Linked DNA regions of Diceros bicornis minor. The protein of the gene in region 1 purifies or fractionates together with the protein of each later gene. This does not show direct contact. Links are inferred from orthologs where the notes say so. Each region holds a gene or a part of one and is shown in the gene's direction. Other genes may lie near its edges.

Region 1 (10,637 bases):
AAACATGGCGTCAGAAGCAGAACCAAGGGTATTAGGCCCTTGCCATTCTAGAGCCCCATCTAGGTGAGGCTCTTACCATCCAGACATACTCTCCTCACCCCTGCCCCTACCTCTGCTGCTCCATGCCCCCCGTCTTGGCCCTGGCTCTGGCCTCCATCCACTGCCTTCATCTAGCTCCTGGACTTGTCCTGGGTCATGTCAGTGCCTGCCTGGAGCACAAAGACCCTGCCTCCAGGGTCCTAGGCAGCTGTAGGGAGGAAAGCAAAGGGAAAAAAGGCAGAGGCCATCCAACCACACCACAAAGACCAATCTAAATCCCAGACAGAAGAGGCTCTTCTCCCTGCCGGAGTCCCTCCCAAACTTAATCCCCAAACTTCTCTAAACTTAGACTCAGATTTCCAAGGAACAAGGAAGAAGCCCTGAGGAGATGTCCCACTCCAGGTGGGAGCTGAACCTCCAGCAGTGTCAACCCTAGGAAAACAGTATCCATTCCCAGGCTCCCCTAAGCTGCAAGGGTCTATACCAGGGGTCATTAAACTCCAGCTAGCAGCTGCCTTTTGTTTTTTCAGCCCTTGAGCTAAGAACAATTTTTACATTTTTAAGTGGTTACATAAGTACATAATCCTCTTCATTTTGCAACTTGTCCAGCAAAATCTAAACTATTAACCATCAGGTTCTTTAAGGAAAAGTTTGCTAACAGTTGACCTAGTTATTCTTCAAACCCTGACACCTGCTGCGTGCCTACTCTGGACTGAGCGCTAGGGAAAGGCCCAGCCCTCCAAGGCACCCAGTGTGGGAGACATGATCACAGCACAGGGTGGTAAGTGCCATATGAGGGGTCGGCACAGGGCCAGGCACAGAGGGGTCCCATGTCTGCCACAGCACTCAGTGCAGATCCAGTCAGGGAAAGGGTTCCTTTGTATGCCCTTGGCCCTGCTGGGCCCCTCAGGCACTCCTCTGAGTCAGCTGGGGAAGCCAAGGGCTCACTGCTGGTCCCTTCTTGTTTCTTCCAACTGACCTCCAGGCTCATTGCTACCTGGAGTATGGGGGTGGGGCTGCTAGGAAAAATGTAGGGACCCTCTCCCAAATACTGCCTTTTCCCTGGCAGAGGTGCAAGAAGCCCTCCTCCTCTTCCCTCATCCCTCACCTGCCCAGGCTCACTCTTCCAGGTGCCCAGTCCAATCAGGGGCATCTTCTGCCCAGTGTGCAGGAGAACACAGGAAGCTGCCATTGCCCCCTGAAACACAGACAGGGAGAGAATGGTGCGGAGGTCAGTGCTGCTGGCTGGGCCTCAGCTACCCACCGGTCAAGACTCCTGTAAAACATGGGCGGGAAAGGGACACAGAGGTGACAGGAGAACAAACATGCTGTTGTGTGCATGTGCCTATGAGCAGAGGCAACTGAGACACGGTGCCCAGAACGTACCAAAGCCAGTAGCTCCTGGACAAACCCTAACTGGACCACCAGCCTGGCTGCCCTTCCTTCTACCAGGCTAAAGGTCTGTATTAAAGAGCTCCAACACCTAAAAACAAAGGCAGAGTGTCTCTCCAGAAGGACCCAGCCTTGATTACATAATGTCTCAAGCCAGTGTAAGACAGGCAAAGGTCATTATGAGACAAAGCGAGACCAGATGACAGAAGAGGCTCAGGAAAAGGTCACTCCTCTGAGGATGAAATGAACATTCCCAGGAGGTTGTCAGAACTACAAAGATTCTGTGAGTCCCTCTCACAGAGATCGGCCATGCTGACAGGCCCGAGTGGGCTCTTATAAGGAAAGTACAGCATTTTTTAGATAAAAAACAGGCTCAGACAGGTGAAGTTACTCACCCCAATCAACATCTAAGAAGTGGCAGAGCTTGGGGCCAGCCTGGTGGCGTGGCAGTTAAGTGCGTGCAGTCCGCTTTGGCGGCCCGGGGTTCGCGGGTTCAGATCCCGGGCCCGCACCGAGGCACCACTTGTCAAGCCATGCTGTGGCGGCATCCCACATAAAGTAGAAGAAAATGGGCAGGGATGTTAGCCCAGGGCGAGTCTTCCTCAGCAAAAAGAGGAGGATTGGCATCGGATGTTAGCTCAGGGCTAATCTTCCTCACACACAAAAAAATGGGGCCGGCCCGGTGGCGCAGCAGTTAAGTGTGTGCACTCCATTTCGGCAGCCCGGGGTTCGCAGGTTAGGATCCCAGGTGTGCACACGCACGGCTTGTCATGCAGCATTCCATATAAAATAGAGGCAGATGGGCACGGATGCTAGTCCAGGGCCAATATTCCTCAGCAAAAAAAGAGGAGGACTGGCATCAGATGTTAGCTCAGGGCTGATTTCCTCATCAAAAAAGAAAAACAAATAAGAAGTAGCAGAGCCAAGGACCCAAGGAGGAGCTAATGGAAAAAGGCAAGAAAAAGGCAGGTAAACACAGACCTATAAAATACATGTGCAATGCCTCACAGTAAACACATGTAAAATGTGCTACAGAAAACCAAGTGATTTCTGTAGCGCAAGGACCATGGAATATTGACATTGGCTTTTAACAACTGGACTCTCCCAAGAGTCAAGGGGAAGGGGAACTAGACACAGGACATCAGTGCAGCAGAAAGCAGTAAATTACAGATAGAAGAAAATTTCCAACTGAGCAAAGCATGTGAGTGATTGGAACAACCACCTTTGGAGAGCTAGGAAAATCAGAAGTCTCCAAATGGCGCAAGAATACTCATTCAGTCAGCAAATGATGAATGTTCCAGGCCTTGTGCCTGACCCAAGAGACACACATATTCAAGTAGAGTCTCGGCTCCCCTGGAGTTCATGTTCTGGTGGGCGGAGGACAGAGGATGTCCAGCACAATGTATGAGAGAGATGACCAAAATCTGCACAAGTGCTGCAAGAAAAGGGGAATCTGGCTAGGATGGCTTCTTGGAGGTGATATCTGAGTCAAGTCAAGTCTGAGTTAAGTCAAGTCTTAAGAAACAGGAGTCATCCAACCAAAAAGCAGAAAGAACACTCACCACACCAAGAGCCAATAATGTAGAAACAACCTTTTCCCGTGAACTCATCAGTACTATAAATATCACTCTCCCTGGATTAACTTCATTGTCAACAGTGCCTTTATAAATATAACCTTTGTTTCCAAGTTCTGAAAGGACATCAAGATTATTACGGTAGAGCAGGTGATAAGACAAGTGATGAATACAACCAATACACTAAAATTGTCTTTCCTCATACTTTTGACTCAGGAAGAATTTTAGAGTCTAGTATAACCTGGTTATGGTAAACATGCTCTTTTCTGTTAAAACAGAAACAAAAATGTTCAATCTGGGCAGCAAACCACAGATGGCTGAGGGCAATACTCTTTGTTATCAAACTTCTTAGGGGTCAGGCAAGCATGTCTGGACTTCACAGGAGGAACTAGCCTGCCAGCTGCCACCAGGGTCTGTGACTAGTTTCCTGGACTTGATCCCCAAACAAGTGACCTATTGGTCTCTCCCCGATTTCCCAGCACACATGGGAGGGCTCTGAAATTACACCTGGGCTGAGAGCTTGAACAAACACCAGCCTGAGGGGAAAAGGAAGAAGAAACCTGATGTCTGCTTCTCCTTTTCTTTTGCTGGTGAAACTGAAAACCAAAATGAGGCTTGGAGGGCAGGGCAGGGATCAAGAGGTAGGAACACCTAAGAAAGATCTGCAAAGAACAAGAGTTCCAAAGGAGGGAACGGAGAGGGTGCAGCACAAGACAGATGTTTGTCTTGAGGACAGGAAGTCATCCTATGACAGCTCTTGACTTCCTCATCTTCTGCCTGACTCAACGGCTTTCCAGCCTAGCCCTGCATTAACAGGCTCTGAGTCTGTCAGGAGCTGCAGAGCTGGACCTCTGGCAGCACTCAGAAACCCGCATGTTATCTTGGGAGAGATTCTAGATATAAAACAGAGAAACTGAGTGTATGTGGTGGGGTAGGGGGTAGTATCAGGACTCAGGTTTTATGATTCCAACTCAGTGCCTGCCTTCCTTCTCGCTGGGGCTCAGTCTTCTCTTCTCAGAGGAGGGCTCTATAGTTCCTGCCTGGACACAGGGAACTCGAAAACACAGGAAAAAGTGGAAGCAGTATTTACATGAGTGTCCCCTGGCTGCATGGGCCTTTCCTCTGCCTCCCATCAATGTCGGTGTCCCTCAGGGTTCTGTCCCCAATCCTCTTCTCACTCCCTAGTTGAGCTCATGTCTTCAGTTACCACCTTAGGCACTGATTCTTCCCACCAGTTCGGTCTATTCGGCTCCCTTTGGACATCTCCAGTGTATGTCCTATAGGCATCTGAGACTCAATGTGTCCAAAACTGTACTTGTCAAATCCAGCAGCAGAGTGCAGAGGAAACAGTTCAAACTACAGGGTTGCATAGACCTGGGTTTGAATCTCAGCCCCTGCATTCTTAAGAGATACTATATCTAAAGCACTTTACACAGTGCCTGATCCCCGCTTTCTTTCTGTATACTCTGTCTCACCACAGACTCAAGACCCTGGACAATGTGTTAAAGCAAACCAGACAACATGTTCACAGCATAATCCATGGGGTCTTAAAAAAAGCCATCTAAATAAAGTATTTCAGTTCATTTCTGGCCTTTCTGAGTATTATCAGATTCTAGTCTTGACAGGTGATGGGGAGGGGAGTACATCTTCTCCTGTAATTCTAAGAAACCAACATGGGCAATGGTGGCTCAGATTTGGTCTGTTTGGGTGAGTTAAAAATCCTGTTAATACTTGTAAATATAAAAAAAGACAGTGTTTGCTCTAAACTGTAATGTAAAACCTAAGACTGAAATAACACTTTGTGTACTTCTTAATGTATGTGAAAATAATTTAAAAATATATACTTCCTAAATCTTTCTCCAGTCCATCCATACTTCCCTCCACTGGCACTATGTTAGCTCTGACCACCCTGACCTGAACCAGGGATCGCTCTGCTTCCAGTGTCTCCCCTCTTCCCACAATCCATTCACCAAATGCAACCATGTGACTCTCAGGCTCAAACTCTTCCAGCAGTTCTCTCCTACCTTGAGGATAAAGTCCAGACTCTTTAGTAATACTCTTCATAATCTGGCTCCCCACCTTCCTCATTTCTCCACCTCCTCATTTCCAGACTCCAGACTCCATGTTCCAGACTTTGCAGAACAAGCCACCACTCATTTGACTCCAGGCCTCTGCACACTTTCCTTCCCCAAGTCTCACCTTTTGCTCGGCTGACTGCTGCTAATCCTTCAGCTGGCACTTTAAATTTCTGACTCCTCCCATATACATCACTGTATTTGTGTGTTATGTTTCTCCCACAAACCTAGGTACTCCTTGAGGTCAGGGCCCATCATCTGTCTGAACTCCTCACTCCCAGAGTGCATGCTCCATACATACATACACATACACTAAACACCCACAAAGAGAGGCAAATGGGGGTGATCTTGACAGTTGGACTTTGGCCAGCTGGAGGGGTATTTGAGGAAGTCACTGCCTCCATCGCCAGCCTCCTTTACTTCTTGGGTAACCTGGAAAGAATCATCTCTGCAAAATATCAAAGCACTTTAGCCACAAAAAATACCAGTGGCTCCAGACAGGATTATGCTAGGATTGCTCCTGTATTTCAGATGACAAAACTTAGACCTTGGGAAAAGTAACATGCCGGAGCAGAGCCACCAACCTTCTTCTAAGGGAGGTCCTACAGCCCTGAGTGTGGACAAGCTGAAGGGAGAAGTTAATTAATAGCAGCCCCAACCGGTGAAGGTTCAGAGTCGATGAAGGTTCAAATTCGTCTCACTTAAAAAAGTGGCAACAGAAAAACATTCTCTGGGGCAACAGATAAACATGCCAAACCCAAGGCAACTGCCTAAGTAAGAGAATTCTACCCGCTCCCGCCACTTCTGAGAAGCCACCTCTCCAATTCCATAGGAAGGACAGAGCTCCTGGAAAAACTATGCCGTTGAGCAAACAAAAAAGATGGGAACTAAAACTTACTGAGCACCTTAAATGTGTCGGGAGCTTTAAAAACTTTATCTCACTTAATTCTCGCTACAGTTCTGATGTAGGAACTCGTTTCACTGCTGAGGAAACTGAAGTCCAGAGAAACTGGGAACTCATCCAAGATCACACAGCGAAGAAGAAAAGTTCAAACCCGAAACCAAGTCTGGCCGCCTCCAGAGGCTACGCTCTCCGCTCTATCTAGGGAGAGAAAGATGGGGCAGCAGCAGGAGGAACTCACCTCGGCACGAGCCCAGAGCGTGAACAGGAGAGTGTGAACTCGGCTCAGCTCGGCGCCCTGCTAAGGATCCAATGGGCCTCAGCTTCCGGGAATGGTGGGCTGCAACGAAAGTCACCGGAAAGTGGAGGCAGGGATCAGGCTTAAGTCTGGCGGTGAAGAGGCTGCTCCTCCCAGAGGAGGGACGGAGGCCGGGCGTTCAGCCGAACTGGCCGTGGTGGACCCCGCCTCTTACCCCCGGAAAAGAGCTCGGGGGTTGGGGTGGAAGTGGTGAGCACGCCAGACTCGCGAGGCTGTACCATCCCCGCCCCTGGGTGCTGGTGGTCCCACTGGGACCAGCACGGACAAACGAAACCCCCAAGTTTGGAGAATGCGCCTGCACAGGAAGCATGCGCCTCTGACCACGGAGGGGGCCCTGGGGGCGGGGCCAGGCTGAGCCTCTGCTGGCCCACAGTGCACCGCGCGTGGTGGCCACGCCGCTCTAGGCCGTTGGAGCTCATTCCCCTGCCGCAGGGAGGAGGCTTCCTGAGTGCCACGTTTGGCGTTCTTCTGGTGTCTTGTCCTGCAGCGCTGACTGCCCGGGGTTTCCCTCTGTGGGGGAAGAGAGAGAATCCCCCTCTGCCCTTTCCCTTTAGGTTCTTATGGCTGGCCAAATAATTAATAAGATAGGTTAGTAGGAGAAAATAATACCAAGTTTAATAACATGTATACATGGGAGAAACCGGGGACACTGAGTTTCTCAACACAATAGCAGAAATTCTCTTGTTAAATACCATCTTTAGCTAAGAACAAAGGAGGATGTTGAGGGTAGGGGGAGTCAGTTCCTAGGAGATTACCACTGAAGCAAGTAAATAAGAGTAAGGTTATTATGCAGTTTTAAGGCCTCACGTTCCACATTGATAAGTTTCTAGAAATGAGGCCATCCCCCCCCTTCCCAATACAGAGAGAGAGATACCTTTACAAATGGAGATTTCCCTTATAAATGTAAATGTTTGTCTGGCAACTCCTTGCAGGGCCATCTAGAGAATGTGGCCAGAGAGACAGAATTTTTGATAAGATGGGCTTGTTGGTGACTTTCCTATTGTAACATCTATTTTACATTATATTACAGCCATCAGATAGAAGATCTGTTCCAGGAAGGAGTTACTATGTCAAATTCTTTAGGCAGTTAGTGGGGGAGGTCAAATGTCCCTCAGAGAAAACAATCAAGGTAAAGAGATATATTTCAGGGTGACCAAATCTTGATCTCCCACATCCCCATTCTCTCCATTAGAGTCGGGTTGGCCAGCTGCCCAGATTTTATCTAATCTTATTTGGTCTGGCAAACTGAGGCCTAGAGAGCAGCCACAACACAAAGGCTGACCATAACAAGGAAGACCTGGGGTCTCCGGACTCCAGGACATAGAAAGTTCCTCGTCTCTCTATCTGGTCGGTGGACCCTGGCCACGGCTTTATGTGCCAAGCACTGTACCAGGCTATAAACATGATTTTATTGAATCTTCACAGCAACCCTGGAAGGAGGATGTTCTTTTCAATTTTATTTCTTGTAAGCCTTTATATGGAAGTATAGCATACATACAAAAAAATGCACAAATCTTAAACGTAACGCTCTGTGAGGTTTTTTTTTGCAATGTAGCTACCATCTAAACAAAGATAGACGTTACCAGTACACTGGAAGCCTCCTGTGAGGAAGTTAGGAATGGTATTCACATTCCATTTTACAGATTGGGCAGACTCAGCAGGTAAATTAGCTTGTCCAAAGTCAGACAGGTATTAAGTTAGAGATTTGAGATTTGAAATAGCCCTTGCCGTTTCGGCTGAGAGATGTCTTGAATTTGTGTTTTCCTTGGCAGGAGTTGGAAAGAAGCAGGTTTGTCCCGGTGTAGCCCTGCCTTTCTCTCCCCACACCTTGGTCTTCCCCCGTCGCCCCAGGCGCTGCTCTTCTCTTTTTTTACCCTCCCCCCCCCAATTCCTCACCACTGTCTCCCCAATACAAATGGTGTCCTGAGGGACCAAGTGCCCAACGTTTCACACCAGATATCCTCATAATGACATTCAAATTTGGCTTATGTGATCAGAATTTAGGATCCTTCAAACTCAGCCCAGCAAAGGTTAACCATCAATAGACACATCCTATGTATCCCATCCCTCCCACTATCTTCTGCAGGATCTGATGGACTGCCTCAATTTTTTTTTCTTTCTTTCTTTTTTTTTTTGTGAGGAAGATCAACCCTGAGCTAACATCCATGCTAATCCTCCTCTTTTTCCTGAGGAACACCGGCTCTGAGCTAACATCTATTGCCAATCCTCCTCCTTTTTTTTTTCCCCCCAAAGCCCCAGTAGATAGTTGTATGTCATAGTTGCACATCCTTCTAGTTGCTGTATGTGGGACGCGGCCTCAGCATGGCCGGAGAAGCAGTGCGTCAGTGCACGCCCGGGATCCGAACCCGGGCCACCAGTAGCGGAGCACGCGCACTTAACCACTAAGCCATGGGCCAGCCCTCAATTTTTTTTTTCTAGTGAGTCTGACTTCTTAAAAGTCTGAAGGGCAATAATCAAGTGGTGACCTTGCCATCTGACGAACTGCTGAGTCATTATAACCAGCTCCCTCCTTCCCCAGCCCTGGGGATTTTGCTCTTAATTGTGGCCACAAGGATCGTTACAAGCAAGGCACAACGCTGGCCCTCCAAGAGTGTTGCCCTCCGAGAGTTTTCAGAGCAATAGTCATCAGATTGATGGTGTATTGTTTTCGAAAACAGATCGGCTTGAGAACACACCACTCCTTGGGGCCGGCCTGGTGGGTAGCGGTTAAGTGCACGCTCTGCTGCTGTGGCCCGGGAGTTCCCAGGTTCCTGGCACGCACCGCGCACCGCTTGTCAAGCCATGCTGTGACGACATCCCATATAAAGTAGAGGAAGATGGGCACAGATGTTAGTCCAGGGCCAATCTTCCTCAGCAAAAAGAGGAGGATTGGCAACAGATGTTGGCTCAGAGCTGATCTTCCTCACACCCACACACCCCCCCACACACAAAGGACTCTTGGAAATACTGATGACTCTAATTGTTGGGTCATAAATGCTTATGCAAGTCGTTTCCAATTCTTTGTTTTGAAAGCTATTGGTGAAGGCTGGTAGACCATTAAAAATAATTTTGGATGATAGATTTTGTGATTTTTGTCATATAACTTGAAAAGAGTTAAAACAATTAAGTGACATTGCTTTAATAAGACTTCTATTTTCATCCACTTATTTATGTGAGCAAGTTATCTTAGTGCTTGTAACTGAAGGGGAAGAAGACTATCCTCTATCCACTCTGGGTCCTTTCTGGCTGGGCTACAAATTAAATTGACATGAGACCAAATAGCAGGAGAAAATCAGACAAAGCTTTATAACATGTATACATGGGAGAAACTCAGAAAATACAAACTGAGCAATTCATCATTCTGACTAAGTTGCTCTCTTAAGTATTTTTCAGCTCAAGATAAGGAGGGTGTGGGGGTAGTGGTTTGGGATTTCAGAGGGGAAGAAGAAAACTCACGTGGAGATGGAAATGCAAATGTTTGTCAGACAACTCTTTACAGGGCCAATTATAGAGAATGTGGCTGGAGAGACAGAATTTTTGATAAGATGGGCTTTTTGGTGCCTTTCTTATCACATCTATTTTACATTATACTTCAGCTATCATATGGTAGTGGTTTCTTCCTGGAAAAGCCCTTCTATGTTAAATTTGTTAGGCAGTTTGGGAGGGGAAGGTCAAATGTCCTTCAGAGAAAATAATCAAGGTAAAGAGATATTTTGAGGTGGCCAATTTTGATCTCCCACATGTCTATCTATACAAACAAAAACTAAGAATGGAATTGATGTTGAACTCTGTCCATTCTAAAAATAAGTAATATTCATCCACAGGTACAAGAATTAAATGGAAAAAAGAAAGAAAGATAGAAGCCATAGCCCAGCTCATTTTTATGTTTAATAAGTAATAAAATTTGTACTGTATATTATTTTGATCAATTATGTAACAATAATAGTACTATTTTTAAACACAATCATAAATTTTTTTAAATTATATAAATTCATTTGTATGTTTTGATTGCAGAAAAGGATGATAAAATTTTCAAGCATCAGACTATATTATATTAAGACAATATTCTCTGGGGAAGTAGACTGAAAAGCAAATTCAAGGAGAAAAATGAACAATATAAAATTAGCAACTATTGAGCTTGTTTTTTTTAAGTGGATGATGGTGGGGATCAAATTGTTCTGGTATTTACAATTAACTGGAGGGCCGGCCCCGTGGCTTAGCAGTTAAGTGCGCGCACTCCGCTACTGGCGGCCTGGGTTCAGATCCCGGGCTTGCAGCGATGCACCGCTTCTCCGGCCATGCTGAGGCCGCATCCCACATACAGCGACTAGAAAGAT
Region 2 (10,513 bases), on another chromosome or scaffold:
CAATTTTACACTCTTAGGGGCAGGGTATGGAAGTTCTTTTCAGCTAATTCACAATCTCACCAACATTTGGTATTATCAGGCTTTTACATTTTACCAGTATAGTGGGTGCAAAGTGGTATCTCATTGTGGTCTTAATTTCAATTTCCCTGATGACAAATGATGCTGAGAATCTGTCTGTTCACGTGCTTATAAGTCACTCATGTATCTTCTTTTGGGAAGTGTGTGTTCAAATCTATTGCGTTTTTACCAGTTGTTTGTGTTATTTTTACCAGTTGTTTGTCTTATTATTGAGTTGTGAGAGTTCTTTATATATTCTGGATATAAGTCCTTTGTTATGTATATGTATTGAACATATTTTCTCCCAGTCTGTGACTTGCCCTTTCATTTTTTTTAAACAATGTTTTTCAAAGAGCAGAGATTTTTAATTTTAATGAAGTCAAACTTACTAGCTTTTTCTTTTATGTTAGTGATTTCCGTGTCCTGCCTAAGAAATGTTTGCCCACCCCAAGGTTGCAAAGATTATCTCTAACATCTTCTTTTAGAAGTTGTATAGTAAATTTTGAGTAATTTTCTTGTATGGTGTGAAGTAAGGATCAAGTTTCTTTCTTTTTTTTTTTTTTTTTTTTACAGAGATACCCATGGGATTTTTGAAGGAGGAGAAAGAGTCTGGAAGCAGCAATGGGGAGCATTTGCCTGACCTCCTGGCCCTGACATATATGGGGCCTCTACTTGAGAAGAGCAGAAATTTCAGTTAATGCAAAAGAAACATCTGAGAAGAGGTTAAGAATATAGTGGTACTTGCTGAATGCAGCTGGTTCCTGGAGGGTGCACAGGGAGAGTTTGAGAGGGCAGGGACAAGGATGATTGCACCAGACCAGGGGATGTAAAGAGCAGCAGTATGCAGGGTAGGTTATTCACAGGGATGGTTATACTGTTTGAAATTTACATTAAAATACTGAGCATTGAAAGTGTGACATATATTTATATGTATATTCATTTTTAAAATCTAAATAGTTAACATTTGAAGTACCCTAATCAGGAGTCCACTCTTGGGGTGTTTAAATTAGTATTTGATGCAAATCAAAACTACAATGAGATATCACCTGACGCCCGTCAGAATGGCTATAATAAACAAGACAGGAAACAACATGCGTTGGAGAGGATGTGGAGAGAAGGGAACTCTCATACACTGCTGGTGGGAGTGCAAACTGGTGCAGCCACTATGGAAAACAGTATGGAGATTCCTCAAAAAATCAAGGATAGAACTACCATATGATCCAGCTATTCCACTCTTGGGTATTTATCCAAAGAACTTGAAAACACCAATTTGCAAAGGTACATGCACCTCTGTGTTCATTGCAGCGTTATTCACAATAGCCAAGACTTGGAAGCAACCTAAGTGCCCATCAAGGGACGAATGGATAAAGAAGCTGTGGTATATATACACAATGGAATACTACTCAGCCATAAGAAACGATGAAATCCAGCCATTTGTGACAACATGGATGGACATTGAGGGTATAATGCAAAGTGAAATAAGTCAGAGGGAGAAGGTCAAATACCGTATGATTTCCTTCATTAAGTAGTAGATAATAACAACAATAAACAAACACATAGGGACAGAGATTGGATTGGTGGTTACCAGAGGGGAAGGGGGGAGGGAGGAGGGTGAAAGGGATAATTCGGTACATGTGTGTGGTGGTGGGTTGTAATTAGTATTTTGGTGGTGAACATGATGTAATCTATGCAGAAATAGAAGTACAATGATGTACACCTGAAATTTTTACAATGTTATAAACCAATGTTACTGCAATAAACAAAAAATTAAAAAAAAAAATTAGTATTTGAAAAATCTCCAAATAGGAATTGATGTACCAGAGGATGTTTCTGCCAACTATTCGAATATCCTTATAGTTACAGTTTGTAAATTAGTGTAAGGAATGTTAGATATTTTTCACTGGTTAAAAGAGGGGTATTCAAGATACATGTTGGGCTGGCTTAAAACAGTGCTGGCAAGTCCTCTCCTTCTTGAACAGAGTATAAGAATTGGTGTGCATTTGGTGTGACCAGGTGACCTCTTTGAACCTTGATTTTCTTCTCTGTAAAATGGGAAGAATAATATCTGTCTCCGAGGGGATGCTGAGAAAAATGAAGCTACACCTACCTCCAGGCCTGGCACTTAATGATTGTTCTATGCATGTGTATTTGTTCCTTTTCCTTCGACCACCTTCTTTACTATATTATTTTGAACTCCCCATTTTATATCCGTTACCATTTTCTCTTTTGTGTCCTCATCTCAACTCTCTTGCTAGACACAGCCTTCAAGCTGGCCTCCCTCTGAAGATCCCAGGGCAGTCTATCAAATCTTCTACACCAAATCACCTGGGATGCTTCTTTAAAATGCAGATTCCAGGGATCTACCTCCAAAGGCTGTGCTTCCATGTGCCTGTCTGTGTGTGGTCCAGGAGTCTGCAGTATCATCAGCACCCCTAGCTGTGCTGAATGAGGTGATCAAGGGCCACACTTAGAGGAATCTGTGATCTGAGCAAACTTTGCCTCAGAAGCCCTAGAGCTGCATTTTCTTCAAATTCAGATGTGAACAAAGACAGCAAACCTAGTTTTCCAGTCCCCCATGGGGCCTCAGACTGAGCTGACCCAGAAATCTGAAGTGAGTTCCTCACCCACACTACTCATTTCTGTTCTTCTTGACAACATGGAAACATCACTTTTGCCTATCCAGCATCCATGTCCCCTTTCTCTGGTGACCCTCTGGATTTTCCTCACTCCTGGTCAAAATGGTTCAAGCAAGGCTGACGCCTCCCCCCAACTCAAGTCAATGAAGGTCAGCCTATGGGACATTTACTAGGACCGGGGAGAAGATTGGCCTTCCTTCAGGGATACTGAACTGGTAGGAACAGAAGCCTGGCGCTGCCTGGGCTAGTCTTACATAAGGTGGAGAACCTCCTGAGAATGAAACCATAGAGATCTGTGACATCTGTAGGCCCCTGGGGTTCCTGATAATATGAGTTACTAATTCTCTTTTTGGTTTAAGTCAGTTTGAGCTGGAATCTTCCTTACAACTGCGAGTTCTGACTAATACACAGAACTGACCCCCAAATGAAGGCCTTTACATCACCCTTTCTCTCCTCCTCTCACCCCTAGCTCTCTGCACCAATGGATCCCCCCTGACTGGGCTGTCCCAAACAATTCCCCTCCACCTCACTTTCCTCACAGAACATCACCTCCTTGCCACAACTGAAATCCTAAGGACGCAAGTTTATATCCCTGTAGGCAGGGGATGTTCCTCTTTAGGTAGGGCCAGGTCTAGCCCACTTTTCTTTCACACTTAGATAGGGAAAAAATCCTTTTCCTTTGAGACTCGTGTTATTGAGCTCACTAATCTTTACTAATTTCCTGGTTACTTAATTCACTTAGGACTTGCACATCTGTTTTACAGCCTCTTCTACCTCTGCCCTCATTCCAGAGGGATCTCACCATTCCATTTAATAGCCTGTAACCATACTTTATACAGCACTTACTGCATATCAGGCAAGATTCTTAGCACTTTACACATATCTTAGCTCACTCAACCCTTATAATAGCATATTATCCCCATTTCATAGATGAGGAAACTGAGGCACAGAAAGGCTATTTAGACTTGTCTAGAGTTACCCAGCCACAGAGTGGTAGAATGGGGATGAGGACAGGGAATCTAATCACAGGGTCTGGGATCTTAACACACACGCCAGCCTCCCAGTGCCCTCTAATTGTAGCATCCCCCATATCTACTTTATATTGGTCCTCTGAAGGTGGGAGTCAGGACCTCCTCCAACCGAGTCACTGGACATTTGTAAGGTCCTTGGAGAGATGTCAGCTGAGGGTGGTTTGGATGGGCATTGGAGATCTATACCTCCTCTTCCTACAGCTGAATCATTTAAGGTCATGTCCCATATAAATGTACCAACTGATAGATAGGCCTAGAAGCTGGGATGTAAGTTGGGCTGAAGACACAGCAGCAGCAAAGCAAGTTATACATTCTGCTCCTGGGACTCCAGGAGCACAGGCCTCTCCTCTGCCCCAATAGTCTTTATTGTCTATGGGAAGCTTGCTGCATTCAGGCCAGTCCACCCTCCTCTGTCTAGGATTGTCCTTAGCATGTGTCCCTTGTCCATATCCTTACCCATGGCCCTGTGCTCCTCATCCCTCCAGAAACTTTGCACAATAGGTTCAACACCTCTGGTTTTCTTCCTTCCTCTGTTTGAGAGAGCACGGAGAAGCTAGGGGCCCTGAGAGGAAGCCAGGGAGCAATTTCAACATCCCAGCCAATCACACATGGATGTAGCTTCGTCCAGAGCTGCTCCACTCTGAAAATTCACACTCAGACCCCCCACCCCAACATTCCGGCTCTCATTCCTCTCTCCAGCCCAAAAGCTTCTCCACCTCCCCTTCCAGCTGCTGAAAGGCCCTCCTGGCTTCACAATGCCCGCTAACATAACTTCCACGAGCCCCAGTCCTGCCGGACGCAACCTGCCACACGCATCCCTATAAGAACACAAACGGCCCACTTCTCTGCTCCAGGTCTACTACTGGTAGAAAAAATTCAACAAATGTGTGTACCGGTGCCATCAGAAAGATAAGGTCGCCAAGCTCAGCACGGCCCCCCATGACACCAAGCAAGCCTTATCAGTGCTCACAATAGCTACCGTTATAACTATTTACTGAGCGCTCACCATGTGCCAAGCAGTATCCTAGTCACTTTACAAGCACTTGATTTAATCCTCAAAACACCACCATGAGTTAGAGACCATCATGGGTCCCATTTTACAGAAACGAAAACTGAGGCACCGGGCAGTCAGGACCCGCTCGGGGTCACAACTGCACCACTCTGGCCGTACTCACATCCCGCACGCAGCTGTGTGCTCGCCAGGAGCCCAGCCAGGTGCCCGGCCGTCCCTATGGCACTAAACTGCGGTGTCACGCTGAAGCAGCGGCTTCACCGGCGAAAGTGAAAGAACGTGAACGAGGCAAGAGCAGCAGAGAATCCCCGCCGGGAGTTCCGAGAAGGAGGCAGGCTGCACACGCAGAGACAATTCCCGGTCTTCTTTACTCAGCACCTTGGGGGGTGCGCGCGGCTGGGGGGCGGGGGCGTGGCGGGCCTCTTCCAGGAAAGCGCCGGCTTTGGCGGCACCTTCTCGATCCTGGGCGCGTTCTATGAAGGCCTGGCTGACCCCTTCCCACGTGACCCTGTGGCTCTGGGTATGGCCGTCGCCTCCCCGCCTCCCCGCGCCGTGCACTCTGCACGCGCCCTTTTGGTCGCTCGATGGCCCCCACAGGTCCCCAATCCCAGTCCGGGTACGGGACAGCCTTGCCGGCGGTTTCGGGCGGAGGGTGCTTCCCGGAGCTCCGCCCCGCGCCGGCGACGGCCCCGCCCCCCGACATTGATCCCGCTCCCACCCGGCGGCTCCGGGAGGCGGGGCCTGGCCGGGCGACTTGGCGGGCTCGGGAGGCCCGAGCGGGCGCGCCCCCGCCACACGCACGCCGCGCGCGCCCGCCCGTCCCGCCCCTACTGCATAAAGGGAAGGAGGGCTGCGCTCGCTCCAAGCTGCGTCCGACGCTTTGGATCCGCTTCCATCGCTTGTTGCGGTCGCTCGTCAGACTCCAGCTGCCAAAATGGTGAAGCAGATCGAGAGCAAGGTACGCGCTCCCGGGGAAGGCCGGGCGCGACGCGCAGCCTCCGTAGCTGGGGAAGGCGAGGGGCCGGAGCTGGGCAGGCCGCCGCTCCGCATCCCTGGGCGAAGGGGACGCGGCGGCTCGGCCTGGGACTGCGAGAAGCCCGGGCCTGGGTGCGCCGGAGGTGTCGAGCATGCCCTGGAGGAAGGGCGGAGGGGGACGAAGGCGCCCTGGAGGGCGAGGTCGGGGTGCCCAGCGCTGCCCGCGCCCACTGCGCCCGGGGGATGCACGCGCACTGGGAGCGCCCAGGTGTCCCCCTCTGCGCCTCCTGCACCTCCCGGTCCGGGAAGCCGTAATTGAGGGAGGGGATGGAGGGAGTCCGCCCTTGGCCCCATAAATATCCGGATACGGGCCCGGGCCAGCAGGTGGAGGGACCCTTGGAGAAAGCACGGGGTTGCTGGCCGCCACTCTCTCGCCGGTGAGCGGCGTGATCCACCCGCGCTGGGTGGGTGAGCTCCCTTGGGAGCGGATCTAGGCCGGAGACCTCCGGCTGCCGGTCCCCAGAGATGACGCGTGCTGTATCCGCGCAAAGGGGGCGGTTCCAGGCTGGAGACCCTCCTCGCGTGTGGGAGTCCGGCCCGGAGGCCCAGGTGGCCGCAAGGAAGTGAGGTCCGAGCGGCGCCCTTGGGACTCCTCCTCTTGCGGCGCAGGGCGTGTTTCCGGCGGCGCTGGCTTTGGAATGACTCAGTCCCCAAGGCTAGGCCCAGGGGACTGCGCTGCCCTACCCATTTGTGATTCACCCACAGTGGGTGGATTTCTCTGAAGCCTTAAGTTCCCCTGGGAGCAGCCGTGCCCGCCTGCGTGCTCGTCGCCCCTGGGTACCCTGTTGGTGGTTCTGTCCTTTTAGGGATGCCCAAGGCAAAAAGTGTTCTCCTACTGGAGAGTCATTGCAAGCCTAATACCCTCCTGCCCGGAAAACTCAGAGCCTAACATAGTGTCTGGTATATTGTAGCTATTCAAGAAATGTTTGTTAAATGCAGAGTCTTGAAAGTGAGTGAGAGAGCATTGATGTTGCTGGAACAGTGGAAGACCTCTCCAAAGCATTACCCCTGCGGTACCCCCGACCCTAGGATAAAGCAGGGGGAAGGCGAGACCTCCCCCGCCATGAGTGCCCCCACCTGTTAGCTGCTGGGATGGGCTTTGGGAAACAAGTTTCTCTGTGATGATCCCTTATCTTTTTGTTACTTTTATAATCAGAAAACATGTATGATCATGGTAGAAAATTTGGGAAGAGGGAGATTGTCTATTTCCTAGAAGCAACCACAAAGTAATTGAGATTATTTTACGTATACTGTTTTGTTTCTGAGCTTTTTATCCCTGTCTAATTTAGCCTGAACACTTTCCATGTAACGAGAAGCTTTTGTAATGATTTCAATATCTGAACGCATTACTGCACGTTTCGGCGGTTTTCGATGCTTCAGTGAATATTTTTGTTCATAACGCTTTGTACAGACAGAGTTCAGACTGTTTCCTCAGGTTGGGGTCTCGAGTGCAGTGATGGTGAACCTTTTAAAGCTTGTCAGTGCCCCAAGAAACATAGGAGAGTTCTCCTTGCCCTCCACCCCATGAACGCTGACTTTTCCCCCGTAACTTCGGCCAAATCATTAGTAAGAAAAATAGTCCCAATCTAATCTGAATATCTTTGATTATTAGTGACTCTGAACCCCTCCCCCCGCATATGTTGATTGGCTAATGGTAGTCTGTTGTCTGCTTTTCCTTGATCAATTTTTTCCTATTGGGATCCTCCTTTTTTAAATTGTGTGAGCTTTTATATTAAAATTAGCACCCTCTCATTTGTTGAAAAGAGAGATCCTTGATAGTGAGTTTTGTTCCACATAATTTTATTCAGTACCTCCTAAGTGACAATCTGCGGTGGGGGTGTTCTCCAGCCTCTGGCGACCTCATCAGTATAACCCAGCAGGTGAGAACCCATTGAAGGAGTGAGGCAGCCTTTGAGTGGCTTCTATTAGTTGTTTCACATTCCATACACTACAAACAAAAAATTGATTCCTGGAGTACGCCTTTCAGTCCTTCCCTATTTTAGTTGTTGGAAAGATGGCACTCTCCTCCTCTCATCAGCGGGAAGATGTGCAAGGGTGACAGGAAATTCATTACTCAAAAAAGCACTAGCCTGGGGCCTAAGGACCCTGATAATCAGTTGATCTTCAAAATTGTGATCCAGAGTCATCAAAATTAAATTAATTTGACCATTACTTGTGAATATTGAATGCACCTTAGATTTTCATCCTAGTGGACTACGTTGGTGCCCTGGGCCATCCAGGATAACTCTGAGGCACTGTGTTGGTTTAGAGCCACTAGGCTCTATTTCAGACATGAGTGGGATAATGGATTATAAATGTGATGAGAAAGAAATCAACAGTTTGTTTTCTTTTCTTTAAAGAATGGTAGCTGCCATTTATTGAACTATCTTCTACACACAGGCATTTTGCTAAATGCTTCACATCCACTCTTAAGCTTATTATCTCTGGAATGGGTATGTTTAGGAAAAGAGATGCTAGACTCTGCTCTTATCTACCTCAGCTCAGCTCCATTGTTTTGTTTTCAGAACATTTGTGTCAGTAATGGGTACCTTGATTAATCCTCATTGTTAGTTTCCAGGAGCTAGAAATGGTGCTTTGCATCTTCGATAGTCTTGAATCATTTTTAAACTGATGTCTGTTTTAGGCAAACTTTTAAGTATCAGGAGATGAGAATTTGTTATGAAGTCTGCACATACCTGGCTCTGTAACTCCTGATCAGTTAAGCCAAAAGTTATCGTTGCATGCCTCTTTTCAGAGTTTTAGGTAGTTTTGCTTGAATTTGATTCAGAATCATTTTTGGGAAACCCTTGAGAGTGTTTGAAATACATTGTATGTTGAAAGTAATCCCACCAAGAATTTACTGAGGGCCAGCCATGTTCACAAACAAATGTGTTCATCTGACCAGACGTTGGCATTCCCTGACTTGTTTCCTGCCTTATGTGGATCTTGCAGTGAAGAATGGCTGGTTTGACCTTCTACAAAATCATGTTAGGGCAGGCTTTGAATGAAATTCAGCTGGAAAAATTGGTGATGGTTTGTAAAAAAATAAGTTCTGGGGGCCGGCCCGGTGGCGCAAGCGGTTAAGTGCGCGCGCTCCGCTGCGGCGGCCCGGGGTTCGCTGGTTCGGATCCCGGGCGCGCACCGACGCACTGCTTGGTAAGCCATGCTGTGGCGGCGTCCCATATAAAGTGGAGGAAGATAGGCACCGATGTTAGCCCAGGGCCGTCTTCCTCAGCGAAAAAAGAGGAGGATTGGCGGATGTTAGCTCAGGGCTGATCTCCTCACAAAAAAAAAAAAAAAAAAAAAAAATAAGTTCTGTACTTCTAACTTCCTCTCTGTGGCTTCCCACCCCCAAGCCCACCCATACACATCTCCCCACACCCAAAGGTGGGGTGGAAGTTTGTACCTGCATAACTGAAAAGCCTACAGAAGTCATGACTTGGCATTCTCAGGAACATTATTTGTGAATTGTTTCCCAAAAAAACATGAGGTAGAAACTAGAAATCTAGGGAAGTAACTGTACTTCAGAGGGATTCACTTTGGATTCACTTTTTTTTATGGTGTTTTATTTGTTTACTTTCTTTCTTTACTGCACCAGATCTGATATGATTCTTAGCTTTCAAGGGAGGGGAATGTTAGTTTTTAATTAAGCCAAGGTGACTAGTATTTTTCCCTTGAAGAAACCTAGACTTCAGATACAGATGTTTCTGTTTTGACTTCTCTTCGTTGCTCCTGTTTTGGTCAGTGCTGACTGATTAATTGTGGGTAAAAATGAGTCCCCTGTTAACTAGAAGGTTGGGTTCCTAGGGTTACAGTATCAAGACCGTCAGTTAATTATTCAGGGAGGTTGGTGGGAAGGGATTTCTTGATCATTTCTCTTGGTGGAATTTTACTTAACATGCATTCTTTATGCAAAATAACATCTAAGGAAATTCCTTTCATGAGGAACTAAAACTGTGTTTCTTGTGGTCCACAACGAGGGCAGAGTTTTGAGATAAAGGGCAGAAATCAAAGATAAACAGTGTGATCTCAATTGTGGAAACTCCATTAAAAAGAATACAAGGAAATATACTTAATGTCAACAGTGATTGTCTGAGCGTAAGGGTTTGGGAAGGTTATTTTCCTTGATATTTTTTTTGAGCTTTTGGCGTGTTCTACCATAGAAAATAGTTTAATCAAAAAAGTGTTAGCTTTTTTTCAAAAAACCTAGATTTGATGTGGAAACATTTTTAATACAAAAGTCTTTTCCCTGTGTTTGCTTAGTTTGGATATAGATTAATGAACAATATTTTAGAAAACTCATGAAGACACGAATGTCGATACACTATGTACATTATATTTGTTTCATCTTATCAAGTAATACAACAACACTGTAGGATTTCTTCAAATATAGTTTGTTTTGATTTGTTTTTTTGTTTTTTTAACTAAAAATTAGGTCCTGAAAGCTGGACCTCCAAATTGTACTTTATGTCACGTTCTATCAAGTTTTGTCAGGGCTTTTGGAAATGAAGCTATTAAACATATGCTTTTCTTTTTCTCTTCTTAGTTTGCTTTTCAGGAGGCCTTGAACGCCGCAGGAGAAAAACTCGTAGTAGTCGACTTCTCAGCCACGTGGTGTGGGCCTTGCAAAATGATCAAGCCTTTCTTTCATGTGAGTATTAAACAGCTTCTCCTTTGTGAGAGATTTGTGGTTACAAAGCTAGGAAAGAGGGAGAGTTGAAGACCTTTGAGGTTTTTTTTGT
Region 3 (10,808 bases), on another chromosome or scaffold:
CTTAAATGCTCACAACCCGCCTTTGTAAGAAAAGAACTACTGTTTTTATCATCCCAGTTTTACAGATGGGAAAACTGAGGGTTCGAGGGCATAGGTAGGGGACTTGCCCAAGGTCACACAGTTGGTAAGTGGGAGGGTCAGGATGGGCGCCAGGCAGCCTCCAGGGCCTTGCTCTTCCCTAACTTGTGCTTGGCTGTCCTGGCCACTGTTCCAGGCCTGGGGACGTAGTTGGGACTAAGGCAGGACCGCTCCTGTCCTCAAGCAATTTACATTCTAACAGAGAGGGGAGAAAGAAAACGAGAGATTGCGCAAGATTGTTATAGTGCAGCTGTGGTAAGTGCTGGAAGGCGAGGAGCAGGGTGTGTGTGACAAGGAACCTGGCTGGGTCTGGGGTGCTGGAGGGCTTCCCTGAGGAGGTATTTTGAGCTGAGCACGGAAGCCCGGGTAGGGTGTAGGAGAAATTGAGGGAAACGTGCTAAGGGCATGTTGGCTGGTTGTGTCCTTCAGTCCTTGTGTAGCCCTGTGAGGCTGGGAGGGCCGCCATGCGCTCCTTCAACCAGTTTTATGAGCGCCCACTATGTGCCAGGCCCTGTGTGGTGCTGGGGACAGTGCTGGCCCTCGTGGAGCTGACACTAAAGTGGGGAGACGGATAATACAGAAGATAAATAAGTACATAAGTAGCACATTAGATGGTGCTAAGAGCTGATGAGAAACTATGAAGCAGGGGCAAGCGGCCCGGAGGTGTCCGCGGAGGGGCATCTGGCGTTCTCAGCGGGTGGCCAGGGACGGTGACAAGGGCCAGAGATTTGAAGGAGGTAAGGGAGCAGTGTCCCCTGTTTTGGGACACAGCGAGGAGGCCAGTGGGGAGCCGGAGCAGAGTGCAACAGGGGATGAGATCGGAGAGGGGGTGAGAGCAGGGGTGTAGGCCTCAGCGGCCACGGAGTTCCCCTGGGCTTTTCCTCTGAGAGGGGAAATCATTGGAGGGTTTTGAGCAGAGGAGGGACAGGGTCTGACTTAGGTTTAATAGGATGCCTCTGGCTGCTGTGTTGAGAGTAACTGAAGGAGGCAAGGACAGAGCCGGGGGTGAGGTGACAGTGACTTGGGTCACGGGTGGAAGCAGTTGCCAGGGGCTGAAGGGGTTGGCTTCTGGACTCTCTAGGACTTTTTGATGGGTTGGATTTTGGGTGTGAGAGGAATCCAAGATGTCTCCTAGATTTCTGCTTGAGCACCTGGATAAATGGAGTTGCAGGTCTGGAGGGGCAGATCAAGGGCTCTATCAGGACATGTTAAGTTTGCGACGCCTTCTAGAGCTGCAAGATGTCGAGCAGACAGTGGGATGAGTCTAGAGCTCAGGCAGGTCTAGGCTCGAGATACAAATTTGAAAGCCTGCGGCTGGGTCACATCACCCGGGCTGTGAGTGGTAACTCACCCGAGAGTGAGTCAGTGGAGACAAGGTCCGAGGGCAGCGCAGGATTCTTCAGTGGAAAGAGCGTGGGGAGGTGCGCAGAACCACAAAGTGGCCAATGAGCGGGGAGGAAAATCAGGAGTGGGTCCTAGACGTTAGGAAGAAAAGTGTTTTAAGTGTTTCTAGGAGTCGGACGTGATCAATGGCATTAGATGCTCCTTTAGGCCAAGTCAGATGAGGACGAGAATTGGCTATTGGATGTAGAGGCCACTGTGGCCCTTGCTGAGAGCAGATGAGGGCAGTAGAGCCCAGAGACACGGCTTGACAAGAGGCTTGGGGCAGCGACGCAGCCTCACTCCCCCGGTCCCAGTGCCTCCCTTGCCCGGGTAGAGGCCCCCAGCCCAGCGGCCATGCCCCTCACTGCACCGGGCTTCCCTGTGCCACTCACAGCACTCCTGCTCTCCCCAGACCCGTGCTTGCCCGGGGCGAGTCAGGGCTCTCCTGTCCGCTGGGCCCCCTCCGGGCCCTGGGAGGCCGCCACTGGAGCCCTGCCTCTTCCTGGCAGGGAGCATCGAGTACAGCTGTCCGGCCTCCAACGAGTGCGAGATCACCAAGCGGAGACGCAAGGCCTGCCAGGCCTGTCGCTTCACCAAGTGCCTGCGGGTGGGCATGCTCAAGGAGGGTGAGCACTGGGCAGGGCCTGGGCGAGGGCTGGGGGAGCTGGATGCATGGGGCCGGGGGGCAAGGCCTGGGAAGTCCTGGTGGAATGGACTGGGCGGGGGTCTCTGCAGAGCAGGCCACCCCCAGCCCCATGGACACAGTCCTCTCTTACAATTCAAGGGGTACGTCTGGACCGTGTCCGGGGTGGGCGACAGAAGTACAAGCGGCGGCCGGAGGTGGACCCACTGCCCTTCCCAGGCCCCTTCCCTGCTGGACCCCTGGCGGTAGCTGGAGGCCCTCGGAAGACAGGTGAGAGCGTCGTGGGTCCCTGGAGCTCCAGGGTTGTCGGGGGGCTAGGACCCAGAGGCCTATCTGGCATCATTCACCCAGGAGAATAATTATCTTGGGCACTGGGACCTAAATTTTCCCTGCATCTATTCACGTAGTCACTTATCCCAAGAAGTATTTATGAAAATACCTTTTTCTGTGTCAGGCCCCCAAGTCGTACAACTGGGAACAGGGCAGGGTTTTCTAACGCTCAGAACCCGTGCACACACAGACCGGCTCTCCCCGGGAGACAGTGCGAACCCTTCCCGGAGAGAGGGGTCTGAGTTGGCTGGCCAGTGGCCACTGAGGAAGGCCACAGGGGGCCCGGCTCTGGGAAGATGCTTGACTCCGAAGGGCCTGCAAGGTGATGAGTTCGAGTGCTTCTTCCAACTGTGCCTGTAGCCCCGGTGAACGCACTGGTGTCCCACCTGCTGGTGGTTGAGCCCGAGAAGCTGTATGCCATGCCCGACCCGGCGGGCCCCGACGGACAGCTCCCGGCTGTGGCTACCCTCTGTGACCTCTTTGACCGAGAGATCGTGGTCACCATCAGCTGGGCCAAGAGCATCCCAGGTAAGGGCTGGCCCAGGTGATGTGGGGCTTCCCTGGGTGCCTGGCTCTGGCGCCCTTGCTCAGCCGGGTCTCCTCCCCACTGCCCTCCAGGCTTCTCGTCACTGTCGCTCTCCGACCAGATGTCAGTCCTGCAGAGTGTATGGATGGAGGTCCTGGTGCTGGGCGTGGCCCAGCGCTCACTGCCACTGCAGGACGAGCTGGCCTTTGCTGAGGACCTGGTCCTGGATGAAGAGGGGGCGCGAGCAGCTGGCCTGGGGGAGCTGGGGGCCGCCCTGCTGCAACTGGTGCGGCGACTGCAGGCCCTGCGGCTGGAGCGTGAGGAGTACGTCCTGCTGAAGGCCCTGGCCCTTGCCAATTCAGGTGAGTCTGCAGTGAGCTCCCTCCACAGGGCCCTCTGGTTTTTAACTCTGTGATGGTGGCACAGTCCCATTTTGCAGGCAAGAAAAACTGAGGCTTAGGGAGGAATAGTGACTTGCTGAAAGTCACAAAGCAAGCCAAGGGCAGGCCCAGGAACTGCACCTGGGATTTTGAGCCCTAGTGCCATACTTAGTGGAAAGGTGAACAATTTAATGGGAGGGAAGGTGGGCAAGACAAGAGGTGGCTGTAGTTGAGAGAGAAAAGGTGGACCCTGGCTCATGAGCAGGAGCAGTGAGTGGTGCTTCAGTCACCCAGTGAACAAATCGGTGTCTGGTTCTTCTTCTTGTTTTTTTTTTTTTTTTTTTTTGCCGAGGAAGATTGGCCTTGAGCTAACATCTGTGCCCACCTTCCTTCAGTTTATATGTGGGATACCACCACAGCATGGCTCTATGAGCGGCGTGTAGGTCTGTGCCTGGGATCTGAACCTACGAACCCCAGGCCACTGAAGCAGAGTGTGTGAACTTAACCACTACACTATGGGGGCCAGCCCTGTGTCTGGTTCTTCCTTAGGCCCCATGCAGTGTTGTCTAAGCAGATGGGGGCTCTGCCCTTTCTGGAGGTGGCCCGGGTCAACAGCTCTCTCTCCTCTCTCTTCGCAGACTCTGTGCACATTGAAGATGCCGAGGCTGTGGAGCAGCTGCGAGAAGCTCTGCACGAGGCCCTGCTAGAGTATGAAGCCGGCCGGGCGGGCCCCGGAGGGGGCGCTGAGCGGCGGCGGGCAGGCAGGCTGCTGCTTACACTGCCGCTCCTTCGCCAGACAGCGGGCAAAGTGCTGGCCCATTTCTATGGGGTGAAGCTGGAGGGCAAGGTGCCCATGCACAAGCTGTTCTTGGAGATGCTTGAGGCCATGATGGACTGAGGCACGGGGTGGGCACGGGTGGGGGTGCTGGCAGGACCCGCCCAGCAGAGGGTCAGCCCCAAGGGGGCAGAGCTGGAGTCTGGGCAGTGCCACAGCCTGCTGGCAGGGCCAGGGCAATACCATCAGCCCCTGGGAGTGGGCCCTACGCCCTCCCCTCCCCCCTCCTAGGGGGTGTTAGAAGCTGGGAACGTGTGTGCCCAGGCTCTGGGCACAGTGCTGCCCCTTGCAAGCCATAACGTGCCCCCAGACTGTAGGGGGCCTTGCGGAAGCCATAGGGGGCTGCAGGGGATGAGTGGGAGGCAGAAGCCTGATCTGGGAGGGAAGGGAGTGGAGGCCACAGTCTCCCAGTGGGTGATGCTTTTGCTGCTGCTTAACCCGACCCCCTCTCCAGAGCAGAGGGGGATTTGGAAAGCAAAAGCCCCTGCCCCCTTCGCTCCTCTCCTCATCATTTGCATTGGGCATTACTGCCCCCCCTTGAAGCAATAACTCCAAGCAGGCTCCAGCCCCTGGACCCCTGGGCTGGCCAGGGCCCCCCATCAGCTCCCACCCAGCCTCCTCAGGGGGCAGGGAGAGCACTGCCTCTACGCCCTGCAGAGCAATAACACTATATTTATTTTTGGGTTTGGCCAGGGAGGTGCAGGGACATGGGGCAAGCCAGGGCCCAGAGCCCTCGGCTGTACAGAGACTCTATTTTAATGTATATTTGCTGCAAAGAGAAACCGCTTTTGGTTTTGAACCTTTAATGAGAAAAAAAATATATCGAGCTCAAGAACACTGCGTGTCTGGCGTGTCACTGGGTCAAGGGTTGGGGATACACAAAACAGAACTAGCAAACAGGATATACATAAACCAATGTACACATGGACACAGTGAAAAACTGGTGCCCAGCACGATTAAGTCTCGGTTTCTTCATCACTCAACAGCATGTTGGGGATACCGCGGCTGATGGGGAACAGACGTCCAGACTCCGGGCATTGCAGGGTGCCCTCCAACACATCCACCTGCGGGGAAGGGGGGACAGGGCTGAGCACTGGCAGGCTCCGTGCGTGGGGGTGTGGCCAGGGAGGCAAGCAAGCGATGGGCCGGTTCTCACCTCCAGCAGCACGTGGTGCATCTTCCTCAGAAAATCCTCATCACGTTCATACCCCTCAATCGGCCCTTTGGGCACCTCGACCAGATGCAACTGTGGGCAAGACACCTAACTCGTCCCTGGGCATCGCCGACCCTCGCCCCAAGACCAGGCTTCCCTGCCTGGTGCAAGGGGCTGCGGCAAGACCACCCCCCAGGGCGTGCACGGGCGGGGGAGGGTCCTCACGGTGTCCGCCGCCTCCAGGAGCGCCGCCCACTCCACCTTGGGGATCATCCGCGCCACGAAGTCGGGGTTGAACTCCACGGGGTTGATGCGGACCTCGGTGGCCTGCGGGGCGGAGGGGCTTAGTGAGGCGGGCCGGACCCTGGCTCTCTTATCCCGCCCGGGACGGGGGCGAGAGACCGCCCGGCCCGTACCTGGAGGCGCAGAGGGAAGCCGCGGGGCCCCACCCCCCGCACGTGCGAGCTCAGCAGGTTGTGGGTGAGCAGCTTCATGTCGCCACCGAGCGCTCTGGCCAGGCCGGAAGCGGAAGGAGGCCAGGAGTCCGCCTGCGTCACTTCCGGAGCCGCTCCCCTCTGTATCCTATTGGATAGCTGAGAGAAGCGGAAGCGGGAACTTGCTGGAACTTCTGGGGCTCGCCGGAGCCGAGGTATTTGAAAGGCCTGGTCGGATCACGCGCTGCTGCCGGAACCGTCTCGGCGGCAGGTGTCTATGGCGCAGGCCCAGTGGTTGTGACTGAGCCAAAAACCTCCAGTGGTTACAAATCATGTACAGTGCAAATTATATGTGAAACAACTGCAATGGGGCCTCCGTCGAATGCAAAATAAACATGTTTTATTTACTCCTACACCAGCGCCTGACGCCGTCATCTCCCGCCCCTCGCTGTCGGTTAAAAAACGGAAACACCGCCCCAATCCGTAAATCGGGCCGGTCCAACAGGCACCCGAACCTTGTATGCAAATAATCTGCTCGGCTGCCGGAAGCCCCGCCCCTTTGTCCGTGCATCAGTGGTCCAGCCCCTAATGCAAATAAGCCAAGCGCCCCGGAAGCTCCGCCCCTGCACGCACGCCTGCGCAGTGGAGGGGCCTCGCCGGGGGCGGGGCGGCCGAGGCCCCGCCTTTGGAGAGTCGCTGGTGACGCCGGGCCCCGCCTCCGGCCGCGGCCCCGACGGGGGCGGGGCTTGGCGCAGCGAGACGGGGCGGGGCGGTTGTGGCGTCGGTGGCAGGCATGCTGCAGGTGGGTCTATGCATCCTGGGACGCCGAGCGGACTCAGTATTCGCCCAGGCTGCGGCAGCGGTGCGAACAGGCCGGTGCCTGGAAGGAGGCCGAGAGTGGACGCTTGGTGGGACCCGCGGTTTCAGAAGCGCCTCTGCAGCCATGGCCCCGATCAAGGTGACCGCTGGCCCGGCCAGGCCTGACCCCCAGCCCCTCGCCATCCACCCAAGGCCACCCTCCGTCCCGCTTGTCTGGGGGAGAGTCACCCTCTTTCCTGCCCTCCGGAATCCTTCCCTCCTCCCTAGTGGCCCTTCACGCTGTCTGTCCCCCTCATCCCCTCAGCAAGACCCCGTGGCGGCCCGGGCGGCCCCACCCCCACCCCGTTCATGCCAGTTTTGGGAGTCTCGTGTCCCATTTGCTGGGCCAGTACCCGAGGCTCTCGAGCCTTCCTCTCATCTCCCTTCCACATCGGCTCTGCGACCCCTGTGATGGGTCTGCACCATTTTCAGACAATTGAGTATCGTGGCCTCCCCCACCTTCTGGAACCATGTCCTCTGCCCCCGGGTCCCTTTTCAACCCCCATACATCTCCCCCGACCCTGTCCTACGCTTTTGTCAAGTTATTGGGCATCACTCTCCCCTATCTTCTGGAACAGGTGTTGTCTCTTAGAGTCCCCTTGTATCTCCCCCAGTCCACTCCACCCATAGCTAATTCCCACCCTTTTGCTGAGTCTTTCACCCCTTCTTATCTTCTGGAACCATCCCCAGCTCCTTGGAACAAACCCCTTCCCCTCCCACAGTCTTCTGAGACCCCCGCCTCCTCCTGCTTCATCCTACTCCTACCACAGAGTTTCTCAGAGACGCTCCCCCCTACCCCTGACTTTTGTCCCTTTTGTCTACCTCCTCCGGGCCCAGGAAGCCCTCACACACTCCCAGGTAGACCGACCCCTCACCCTTCAAGAGATTCCTTCTTTTATTCCATACCCCCTGGATGTAGGGACCGGCGCCCCCACCCCCCGACTTTCCCGCTTTGTGCTGCCCTCCCTTTTTTTTGTCTTGAGGGTGAGACACTCAGACCTGGCCAGGGTCCGCTCCCTCCTTGTCAGGGCCTTGTCCTCACCATCAAATATAGCCCCCCTGCCCCTCCGCCCCTTGTTCCTTTATCCTACTCTTTTCCTGTAACTCAGCTTGTTTACTCAACCCCTTGCGACACCCAGGGAGGCCTTCTCTCCCTTTTTCTCTTGTCATCAGTGGGCCCTTTAAGAAGAATAGGGCCGCCTTGAAACCTGGGGGATGTGGGGTAACCAGGCGGTGGCGGGAGAAGGGAGGGCGACAGGGAGGGACCTCTGGAAACTCTGACAGGGTTGAACTTTCCTGCTGGCTGTCAACTGTGCTCCACCAGGCACAGCTGCCAGCCCCTCTGGTCCCCTGGCTCTGGTGCTGCCCTTCCCTTGGCCTCCCTGCCCAGCCCACACCTCGACCCCTGACCTCGGAGCCATTCCCTCTAGGTGGGAGACGCCATCCCGTCGGTGGTGGTGTTTGAAGGGGAGCCTGGGAACAAGGTGAACCTGGCAGAGCTGTTCAAGGGCAAGAAGGGGGTGCTGTTTGGAGTCCCCGGGGCCTTTACCCCTGGCTGTTCCAAGGTGAGGCCCCGCCCTTCTGGGCTTAGCAACTGGGACCTTGTGTACATGTTCGTATTGTTCATAAGTCTTCCACGGAGTCCTGAGGCAGTTGGCAACGAGAGTATGTAGATGATATGACAGCTAAAAAGCTGGTCAGAGCATTTAGAAAATAAGTGGAGGTTGCGAAAAGGTAGCAGTACCAGAAATATAGGGGAAAAGGGTATTGCAATGAAATTCAACACTTCTTATTGACTTTGCTGGCTGACAGGCACTATGGAGGGTACTTGGAACTCGGGTAAATAAGACATAGTTATGGCCACGGGAAGTTCATGGTCTTGACCACTTAAATTTGGATCCGAGCTTCCTAGTGGCCAAGGCAAAAAGGAACTGTGGCTTACACAGTTCTCATAGTCTGATCAAAGGTGTTGAAGCAGGGAGATAGGGAAGGCCTGGAGATAAAGGGTAGCCCAAGGAGCAGAGGCAGTTATCCCTTTGCTGACCCTTTGTTTCCTCTCCCCAGACCCACCTGCCAGGGTTTGTGGAGCAGGCTGGGGCTCTGAAGGCCAAAGGGGTCCAGGTTGTGGCATGTCTGTGTGTTAATGATGTCTTTGTGACTGAAGAGTGGGGACGAGCTCACAATGCGAAAGGCAAGGTGAGGTGCGGGTCCTGCAGGGGATCAGGGGCCAGGCGGGAGATTTTTCTCTTGACCTTTACTTTCTCCTTAGGTTCGGCTTCTGGCTGACCCCACTGGGGCCTTTGGGAAGGTGAGTGCCCCCCCCGCCCCCAGGGCAGTCCCTGTGCCCGGCCTTGGAAGCAGGGACTTGGAGGGACGTGGCCAATGTGGGGAGCAGCTGGGGGGCTTGGCCTGTTCTGGGCTTCCTGATCCTTTTCTTGGCCTCCCCTCCTAGGAGACAGATTTGTTACTAGATGATTCATTGGTGTCCCTCTTTGGGAATCGACGGCTCAAGAGGTAAAAGTGGGAGGGTCCTCCATGGGGTTCCCCCCGCCCCCGTCTCCATTCCCAGCCTCCAGGCCCAGGCTGTTGCAACTGGTCGCCCGTCTTTCTGGCAGGTTCTCCATGGTCATAGAGGATGGCACGGTGAAGTCCCTGAACGTGGAGCCGGATGGCACAGGCCTCACCTGCAGCCTGGCCCCCAACATCATCTCGCAGCTCTGAGGTCCAGAGCCCAGACGTGCTCCTTCTGCGCTTTCCTATTCCGCCTGTCCAGCCCTGGGCAGAGCCCAGCCCACCCTCCTGGGGCCGCCCAGTTGGAGCCTTGGCCAGATTTCTGCAGTAAACACTTGTGGTTCATGTCTGTCTCCTTGATTTTGAATTGCTCTTTCGCTGAGGGCCAGGTCTCGTGACAGTCACAGCCGGGAGAGGAGTGGGCAGGGGCTGAGGCGGGGACTAATAGGAGACCCTGAGGTAATTAAGGAGGCAGTCAGGGAAGGCCTTCGGGGGACGTGTTGTGACACACCAATCTGCAAACTGAGAAAGGGTCAGTGGTCTGAAAAGAAAGGGAAGGAGCAGTCCGTGCAGAGGAAGCATGTCTAGAAATTTCCTGGGCAGACACGAGCTTGGCTCGCACCTGTGACCTTTTGCGCTTGATCTCTGGGTGCTGGCTGAGCTCATTTAGACCATAACCCCGGGGTAGCAACTTTGGTTCCAGGCAGCCTCCGGACCTGGGCCGAGCCCCAGCCCCACCATTCTTTCAGACTCCACTGAACGTCTCCCGGGAGCACCCACATCCCAGGAAGGGCCCCTGGCACCTTGGGACCATCTGGCAGAAAGGGATCCATGTGGAGCAGTGCTGGTTCAGTCCAGGAGGGCTTCCTGGGAGAGGAGTATGAGAGGAGAAGACACCTGTGAGGCCTGCCCGGTGGTGGGTGTAGAGTGAGGAGCCGGGGGTCAGGGAGGCGGGCAGGCTTTGGGGCTGGGGCCGTTGCCGTGTGCTGGCCCTGCCCCTGGGCTTCTGCCTTTTGTCCCTGGGAAGCCAAGTGCTTGGCAGAGCAGACTGCAAATTATTAGGCCCCTGCTGTGTTTAGAGCTCCCAGCCTACGGGGGACAGACGCTTCAGGTATGGTAAAAATCCTCAATGATCCCGTGGGGTGTGAACTGTTACAGCCTGTTATATCACAGAGGTTAAGTCAACAGGCCCGGCTCATTCAGCCGCATAAGAGGAGTTGGGATTTGAGCCAGGCAGCCGGCCCGGGGCTGGCGTGGGTGTGAGCTTTACTCACTGTGCCCTGCTGCCCCGTCACCACCAGCTCCTAGGGGCCCTCCTGCTCCGCCTGGCCATCTGCGGGGGCTCAGCCCCCAGAGCCGGCCAGGGCAGACTGCCCTCAGCGAGAGGTCTCTTGGAGGACACGACCCTTGAGGCAGTGGGAATGGTGCTCCTGGCGGAGGGAACAGCATGGCCGTAGGGATGGAGGGTGGAACAGCCTCCAGTAGCTGCAGCACATAGAGCAGCTGAGAGAGAGAGAGGGGATGCTGGGAGGACAGGGGGCCTTTGAAGACTTTCACCTGCGGCCACCTTGGGCCACTGAAGGATTTCTGCAGGGCAGTGACAGGTCAGCTTTATACCCAGGCTGCTGTGTGGGGAGAGAGCTAGAGCTGGGTGAGTGGGGGGTAGAAGAGGCGCCA

The links.
Region 2: the proteins of PRDX1 (region 1) and TXN purify together in Homo sapiens (affinity purification with western blotting; 3 studies listed by BioGRID, with this or other methods). This does not show direct contact. The link is inferred for Diceros bicornis minor from reciprocal best matches to the Homo sapiens genes PRDX1 and TXN.
Region 3: the proteins of PRDX1 (region 1) and PRDX5 fractionate together in Homo sapiens (co-fractionation; 3 studies listed by BioGRID). This does not show direct contact. The link is inferred for Diceros bicornis minor from reciprocal best matches to the Homo sapiens genes PRDX1 and PRDX5.

What each region holds. Positions count from the first base shown.
Region 1 is NC_080752.1:8,458,139-8,468,775, reverse strand, and holds the start of PRDX1 (peroxiredoxin-1), read left to right. Parts: upstream 1-6,050; 5' UTR 6,051-6,055; intron 6,056-6,222; exon of another isoform or gene 6,223-6,523; intron 6,524-10,637. Other genes in the region: AKR1A1 (aldo-keto reductase family 1 member A1), read right to left, coding at 1,148-1,231. UniProt on the Homo sapiens protein: Thiol-specific peroxidase that catalyzes the reduction of hydrogen peroxide and organic hydroperoxides to water and alcohols, respectively.
Region 2 is NC_080767.1:19,025,918-19,036,430, reverse strand, and holds the start of TXN (thioredoxin), read left to right. Parts: upstream 1-5,586; 5' UTR 5,587-5,670; coding exon 5,671-5,694; intron 5,695-10,317; coding exon 10,318-10,422; intron 10,423-10,513. UniProt on the Homo sapiens protein: Participates in various redox reactions through the reversible oxidation of its active center dithiol to a disulfide and catalyzes dithiol-disulfide exchange reactions.
Region 3 is NC_080770.1:8,680,252-8,691,059, reverse strand, and holds PRDX5 (peroxiredoxin-5, mitochondrial), read left to right. Parts: upstream 1-6,530; 5' UTR 6,531-6,555; coding exon 6,556-6,720; intron 6,721-8,050; coding exon 8,051-8,185; intron 8,186-8,684; coding exon 8,685-8,816; intron 8,817-8,889; coding exon 8,890-8,928; intron 8,929-9,072; coding exon 9,073-9,134; intron 9,135-9,235; coding exon 9,236-9,341; 3' UTR 9,342-9,476; downstream 9,477-10,808. Other genes in the region: ESRRA (steroid hormone receptor ERR1), read left to right, coding at 1,971-2,087, 2,246-2,374, 2,795-2,962, 3,053-3,322, 3,979-4,238; TRMT112 (multifunctional methyltransferase subunit TRM112-like protein), read right to left, coding at 5,132-5,239, 5,332-5,421, 5,554-5,655, 5,745-5,822. UniProt on the Homo sapiens protein: Thiol-specific peroxidase that catalyzes the reduction of hydrogen peroxide and organic hydroperoxides to water and alcohols, respectively.